2 linked regions of the Danio rerio genome follow. The protein of the gene in region 1 interacts with the protein of each later gene in a biochemical or structural test. Links are inferred from orthologs where the notes say so. Each region holds a gene or a part of one and is shown in the gene's direction. Other genes may lie near its edges.

Evidence for each region.
Region 2: the proteins of jade1 (region 1) and kat7b form a complex in vitro, tested with the Homo sapiens proteins (2 studies listed by BioGRID). The link is inferred for Danio rerio from reciprocal best matches to the Homo sapiens genes JADE1 and KAT7.

What each region holds. Positions count from the first base shown.
Region 1 is NC_133192.1:28,308,429-28,312,257, forward strand, and holds part of jade1 (protein Jade-1), read left to right. Parts: intron 1-2,458; coding exon 2,459-2,626; intron 2,627-2,735; coding exon 2,736-2,852; intron 2,853-3,829.
Region 2 is NC_133187.1:6,533,864-6,537,692, reverse strand, and holds part of kat7b (histone acetyltransferase KAT7), read left to right. Parts: coding exon 1-10; intron 11-127; coding exon 128-217; intron 218-357; coding exon 358-498; exon of another isoform or gene 499-654; intron 655-790; exon of another isoform or gene 791-1,159; intron 1,160-2,272; coding exon 2,273-2,366; intron 2,367-3,018; coding exon 3,019-3,165; intron 3,166-3,272; coding exon 3,273-3,379; intron 3,380-3,829. UniProt on the Homo sapiens protein: Catalytic subunit of histone acetyltransferase HBO1 complexes, which specifically mediate acetylation of histone H3 at 'Lys-14' (H3K14ac), thereby regulating various processes, such as gene transcription, protein ubiquitination, immune regulation, stem cell pluripotent and self-renewal maintenance and embryonic development.

The sequences.
Region 1 (3,829 bases):
TTTCCTTATTTGCTGCATACGTGATAGTAGGTTTGGATCCCTGTTTATTTTGTGTTGTTGCTCCACATTTAATAAGTCTGATGTTAGGGTATTGTACTCCATAATTCTCTTTTTTTTATTTTGCGCTGATAGTGCAATCAAATTCCCACGCATCACAGCCTTCAATGAGTCCCATACTATGGATGGGTCTACCTCTCCATTATCATTTATCCTAATATATTCTTTTATATTTAATTTTATCTGTTCTGTATTTGCTTTGTTATTTAACAAACCCACATTCAACCTCCAACCTGTCTTTCTCTTCCTTCCTTCTATTTGAACTGTCAGGTACAAAGCGCTGTGGTCAGAGACCTCAGCTACTCCAATGCTACAATCTTTCACCCTATAACAGTCATTTTTTGGCATAAAAAAATAATCAATCCTAGAGTATGTACGGTGGGGAGCTGAGTAATGAGTGTAGTTTTTGAGAGATGGATTAATATGTCGCCAGACATCGCAGTATCCTATGTCATCCCAGGCTGTGTTAATTAATTTTGATATTTTGCTCCCATTTCTTTTGCTATTAGTTGTGTCTAAATGGTGGTTTAGTACCACATTGAAATCTCCACCACATATACAAATACCCTCTGCTTCCAGTACAATTACATCCATTAATGATTTGAAGAACAGTTTACTAGTATCGGGTGGAGCATACACATTTACTAAAGTTATTAATTCCTCTTCAATTTTACCCTTAACAATAAGATATCTCCCATCCTTTTCTTTTATTTCCTTATATAATTCGAATTTAAATTTATTAGCAACAAGAATAGCAATTCCCCTTCTATGTGAATGCTCATATGAATTGTAATAAGTATTTTTAAAGCCAAATCTCTTTAATTTCTCATGCTCTTGTTGAGAGAGATGAGTTTCTTGCATAAAAATAATATCTGCTTTCTCTTTTTTAAATTTTGTCAATACCTTTGACCTTTTAATTGGGTTACCCAAACCGTTCACGTTTAAAGACATTAGCTTAACCTCAGTAGACTGTACCATCATCAAAAAGAGTCATTCTTACACCACTATGTTTCCACAGGCAAACCTTAAATAAAATAAACTGTAACACAGAAACAAGCCAAGAACTGCTTAGAACAAGCATTATGGTTCTTGAAATCTTTGAAAGTTTGTGAGTGTGAACAAAAAAATTAAATTCAAGTCCCTGGAGATTTTTTTAATTAAGTGTACATAGAAAAAGATTGTTGAATGAGTTTATTTTGTTCAAGACATTTTCTTTAAAAGAATCCATTTGACCTCCGGTCTGCTAAAGTGTTATTTCACCAACACTTGTGCTTTTATGCGTACAGCTTGCTTAAGTTACACACAATTGCACAATACGATAAGTGTTTCCCGCATGAGTTACTTTGTGTTGAACATTGCCATGATGTTCACAAACATACTATACCACTATAGTACCTCACGGTTTCAGAGACAAACATAAAGTGCCAAATATTTTAATTAATATAATGTTGAGTTGATTTACTTTAGGAGATCAGGTAAACCCATGAGGCAAGAAAATGTAAATAAGCATATTCATATATCTTAAAACTTCAGGTTATATGAGCCTAAACTCTTTTCCAACAAAATCCATACAAAAGTTAATATCGGATTATTTTATAATATAGTATGGGATGTATTAAATAATCTTCAGTTTTATGCAAAACACGCATCAGATATCAGATCTGTCATATAACATGACGTAACCTTGCTCTCACTTAAAATGTGTTCCCACATTAAAACCCTTGCATTTGAGGGCGTTGGTCATAGAAAGTCCTTGTAAAGTTTGTCTTTTCGGATTTAGGCCAGTCGTTTCTTCTCTAATACTAAAATTGTAATTAAAAATTGTGATTTTAGTGCAGATTGTGTTAAAGCAGTTTAACATAGAAGTTAAATTAAAAGTGTCAGTGCAGTTTTGCAGAGTTGAAGTTCAGTTTATTTCAGTTGAGTTTGGTTTAAATTTCACTGCTGAAAGTCCAAACCCTGAAGAGCAAATCCATTGATCCATCTAAACCAAATCAAGCAAGACAGTGGCAACAGAGGCAAGGAACTAAACTTCATTAAATTCACCATTTGTCCAAAGATATTAGAATATTACATGGTACAAATGTACAAAACAAATATTTTTTATTTTACTCCTTTAATTACTTTTTTTATCCGGGAGAGTGAAAATTTTGGCAAGGCTAGTGAAAATCTAGAGAACTGGCTTAACTCAACTAATAAAAATGGTTGTCATTGACTCTGACACATTAAAAAACTAAGACATGCATACATATTGTAATTGTGGCATTTTTTTTCCTGTGGTTTTTAAAAAAAAAGAGTGTCATTATATTTAAGGTATCATATTGAAGTTAGAAATTTGTGACCAAATTTTGAAGAAATGTTCCAGCACACATGAATTACATAACCATGTATCTCTCCACAGGCGTGTTATGGTATACTGAAGGTCCCTGAGGGCAGCTGGCTTTGCCGTACCTGTGCGCTGGGTATTTTTCCCAAATGCCACCTGTGCCCTAAAAAAGGCGGAGCCATGAAACCCACCCGCAGTGGCACCAAGTGGGTCCACGTCAGCTGTGCCCTCTGGATACCTGAAGTAAGGATGCACGCACAAATGAAGACTTATGTAAAGTGATTCACTTAATGACGCAGAAGAGCAGTATGTGTGCTGAGACTGGGCTTTGTTGTGTGCTCTTTATCTCTAGGTAAGCATTGGTAACCCTGAGAAGATGGAGCCTATCACTAATGTGTCTCATATACCCAGCAACAGATGGGCTCTAATATGCTGCCTGTGTAAAGAGAAGACAGGAGCTTGTATTCAGGTATACAGTGCTGATGTTTATCTCTTATTATGTTATGGATACAGTACAGATATGAAGAATGTCCCAGAAATATTGCAAATTTCATTAATGTTTTTAATGAATATTTTCCACATTCTTACAAAAGCATTCATTTTATTTTTTTGTCTTCTGATGTTTTTAGTTCAATTTCAGTTTGTTTATAGCTCTTTTAGGATAGCAATAATTCTCCAATGGCTTTGTTTTTGGTTTTGGATTTCTTTTGCTTTGGTGACTGATTTGTTTACTAATATACAGCAAGATGTGCTTCTTAAAATGGTAATAGCTTTAATAAGAATATGTAAAACCATTAAAACATTGAGTAATAATCACTTAATTGTTGTTCTTTGTAAAAAAAAAAAAAATCCCAAAAATGTAATCAGGTTTTTAAATTGTACGATTATAATTTTATAAGTTTCATTGTTATAATAAATTTTTGTGAATTAGGGAAAAAGAACAGAATCCAGATAAATAAAATATAATTTGAGATCAAAAATTGAATAAAGCAACAAATAATACTGTACACAGAAATAGGATATATGCAAAAGTATGCAGAAGAACTTTTAATTTTGCAGTAACCTTGGTCAAGTGCTTACGATGAACTGTATGCAGTTACAAAATCGGCACGTTTAAGGTCTGTTTTCTTTAAAAATGATCTCCACTGCCTGATTGATCACGGCGCCATGTATATAAAAAATGAAAATTAGTTTCACCCCAGTATTTTCTATGTTTTTGCGCTAGCTCGCTAATCGTGACAGCGCGTACATATAAAGGCTTTTTTTATCTCTGTTTACGCTTCAACAACTAAATGAATGCTGAAGTCTGTTTAACTGATTATATTTTATTTACATTACAATATGGATGCTGTAAAAGGAAGCGTATAAAATTGAAAAAAGTCACATTTAGCTTTCACCAGATGTTTATTGGTATGGAAAGAAACACTAGCTGTGCAAATACCCTAT
Region 2 (3,829 bases), on another chromosome or scaffold:
CAGACATATGGTATGAAGTAATAGTAACCTCTGCTATGGCTTGAGTTTAGTCAGATGTTTGTATTGGAGGCATGTTTATAAAGGTGAAGTTAAGTTTGACATTTTCATTTGTATGTCATCTGTACAGGCCAAATGTGTGTGGAAACATCCTCCAGGGGATGAAGTCTATAGAAAAGGTGCCACCTCTGTGTTTGAGGTTGATGGAAAAAAGAACAAGGTGGGCAATGATTTCAAAATGACTCTTACGTTTGGGATATATCTGTTTTTTTTGTGTGTGGCAGTTTTCACTTCTAAATTAAATTCTACGTTTACTCGCTACATATGAAGCTGATTTCTTTCATCCATGTGTCTCAACAGATCTACTGCCAGAACCTCTGCTTGCTGGCCAAGCTGTTTTTGGACCATAAAACACTGTATTATGATGTGGAGCCTTTCCTGTTTTATGTCATGACTGAAGCTGATAACACAGGCTGTCACCTTGTGGGATATTTCTCAAAGGTAATGCAGTGGTGCAGTCTATGGAAACTCACTTAAACTGAAATTTATTATAACATTACATATTTTCACAATACTTGCATTTAAGGTAAAATTTTGGGCAGATTTTTAATCATAAGCCTCTTTTGTTGAGACACTGCTCGCTGCAGAGCCACTTGGGCTCCAGTGAGGGGGAGCTTGAGCTCCAACTCCTCCTCCTATAAGCTGTTTTAATGCGTACATCCACCCCTAACCGCAACCCCCCAGTGACATCACTTGTAGAAGAAGTGCAAGGAAGGAGGAGCTGGAGCTCAAGCTCCCCCTTGCTGGAGCTCAGCTCTGCCCACGTGGCTCTGCAGTGAGCACCACTTGCTTTCGTTTACGCTCAGGCAATGGTAATGCTGTTCAGAGAACATCAAACTTGTTGAAATGATTTGAAGACTGGATTGTGTACTCTTGATGTGCTGGCAGCAAACAGTGCACTAGTTTTACACTTTAAGGGATAGTTCACCTAAAAATGTACTGTTAATTTACTCACCCACAGTTCATCCAAGATGTAGATGACTTTTCTCTTCAGTAGAACTTTAGAGATGTTTAGATATATCTGTGGTCCTTGGTGATTCATATGATGGCAGTGATTGCTAAAAGTTTTTTTTAGATTAAAATAAACACAAATGAGTCCAAATCAATAGCCATGGCTTCTGATGAAACAGTGATGTCTTGTGAAGCAAAACGATTGCTCTGTGTAATGCTGTGTTCACACCAGACACCAGACGGATAAATCGCGCTATTCGCACGTAAATAGCCGCGTGAACATTTGAGTTTACTCGCTTCATACGCGCGTCAAACCCTGCTTCATTCGCGTGTCAAATTCACATCAGAACAGACGCGGATTCGCGTGATGGGCAGGGCTTCTGTCTGCCCTGTGACTAGCTTCATAGCTAAATGGCTAACATGGATTTTATGAAGAAAATAACAGTGTTTATGTGCTTTATGAAGACTGAAAAACAGCGTCGATACGTTTAGGGTCGTGTCTGAGTCTACTACATTCTTTCAGAGGTGCATCCAGCTCTGTGAGCTCATAAACTTAACCAACTTAACCTGGCTGACGGAGGCTTTTTTTAGCGGTGCATCTGACTGAGCCAAGCCCAGTTTGATGAACTGTTGTCGGTGAAGGCTGGAGGATTTCCCTCGGAACACCGACAACAGGTTCTACGTCACAATCACGCCCCCACAAGAGGAAGCTTCTGATTGGTTAACGCGGTGCGAATTTACACTGAAGTTCAGATTTTTGAAATCGAGAGATTCGCGCGAAACGCTCGTTAAGCGCGTCAAATGCGCAAAACGCTCAATTCGCCCCACGCCATTCGCGCGTATCGCGCCGCAGGATGTCCATTCGCGCGTTTGCATTAACTTAACATGTAAATCACTCGCGCTTGACGCGCGTTCCGCGTCTGGTGTGAACACAGCATTAGAAATTGAGCACTATTTTCAATATTATTAGCATTAATTTACAGCCTGGTCAAACGGTTCACGATGCATGTGTGAATGTAGCCTGATTGTAGTCCTGTCACTTTTGAATCATCCACAGATTCAGCTAAAATCTTCTTTAATCTTGTACTAAAGAAAAATAAAGTCGTCTACATCTTGTGTGACCTGTGAGTGAGTAAATTTACAGTAAATAAAACAAATGTGTGAACTGTTCTTTTAAGAAAGGCTGGTCAGAACAAGTCATTATGTTTATATCATGATCATAAATTCTCTGTTTAAGCATAATTGTCTGTTTTCATGTGTGCAGGAGAAGAACTCGTTCCTGAATTACAATGTGTCTTGTATCCTGACCATGCCACAGTACATGAGACAGGGCTATGGCAAGATGCTGATTGACTTTAGTGAGTACCTGGTGTGTGTGTGGTTAGGTTCTGACGGTTATATTTGTGAACAACTGAGCATTCCCATAGATCATTTCATTATGGCAATGTCACTGACCCATGAACATTTACTTATGTCAAACTATTTTGTAACTGTAACAAGAGGCAATTTAGTCATATCTTAACATTAAAACCTGTCATAATATTATTTATCAATATGTGGAATTTTTTCGATTCTTGGAAGCTATAGAAATTAAAAATGCAATACAGGAAATACGTTAAGACCGTCGTTATTGTTTACATTCCTCAAAAGACTGGTCTGTAAATGAAAAGCATCAACTCTGTGCAAAACTCTATATCATAAATAGTAATAAAATGCAGATATCAAACTGTGCAACATCAACCTGTGATGTGGATTTTAGTTTTAGAAGATGAAATGGAAAAAAATAGGGCATTGAAAAAAATTTGTAAGCAGAAAAAACCCTCAAAATTAGCCAGTTTTGCTAATATCGTCTTGGTGTTCAACACACAAATCTGTTAAAATCTTGGAAAATTTAGTCAAGGGTTTATGACCCTTTAATTATTTATTTAAAAAAAAAAAAAGAATTATACACTAAAATCAGGATTTATGACCTTTTAAATACCATGCTATTGTGTTGCTATTGCGTTCCAGGTTACCTGCTGTCGAAGGTTGAAGAGAAGGTGGGCTCTCCTGAACGCCCGCTCTCTGATCTGGGCCTCATCAGTTATCGCAGCTATTGGAAGGAAGTCCTGCTACGCTACATGTACAATTTTAAGGGCAAAGAGATCTCCATTAAAGGTAAGAGGAGTTTCTTGTGCCCCAAATGTGAATGTTGTAAATTAAGCATGTTCAATCAGACATCCCTGAAGGGTTTGACTTCATTTTTTTTTTCTTCCTCTCTTCAGAGATCAGTCAAGAGACTGCAGTGAACCCAGTGGATATCGTCAGTACACTGCAGTCCCTTCAGATGCTCAAGTACTGGAAAGGAAAACATCTAGTTTTGAAAAGACAGGTATCATCTGTTTGTTATTTCTCTCTCTTTTTTTTTTGTATGTTTGCTTTAAAAGGCCTGGGTGTCCACAGGGTCTTAAAGTATTAAAAGTTAATAAACGAATGAAGAGAAATTTAAGGCCCTTAAAACTTATTAAAGTCTAAAATGCTATTTTGCAAGGTATTAAGTTTGATATCATTTTTGATTATGCAGTGTATAGTTGTATGCTAAAGTTTCCCTGAACTAAATCTGCGAATATCAGGATGTTGTATAGTTAATGAAATCCTACTATTTTTGACATCATGCTGCTTTGTTTACTGCAGTAAAGGTGCCAACCTTTTTGGATAAATTGCTTACATGAATATTTACTAAATACATTGTAAGTTTAAATCTTGCAAGTGTTGTTGGTTGAAAAGTAGAATCTGTGCCCAGAAAATAAACTTTTTGAAATTCAGCCAGAAACAGGTAGAA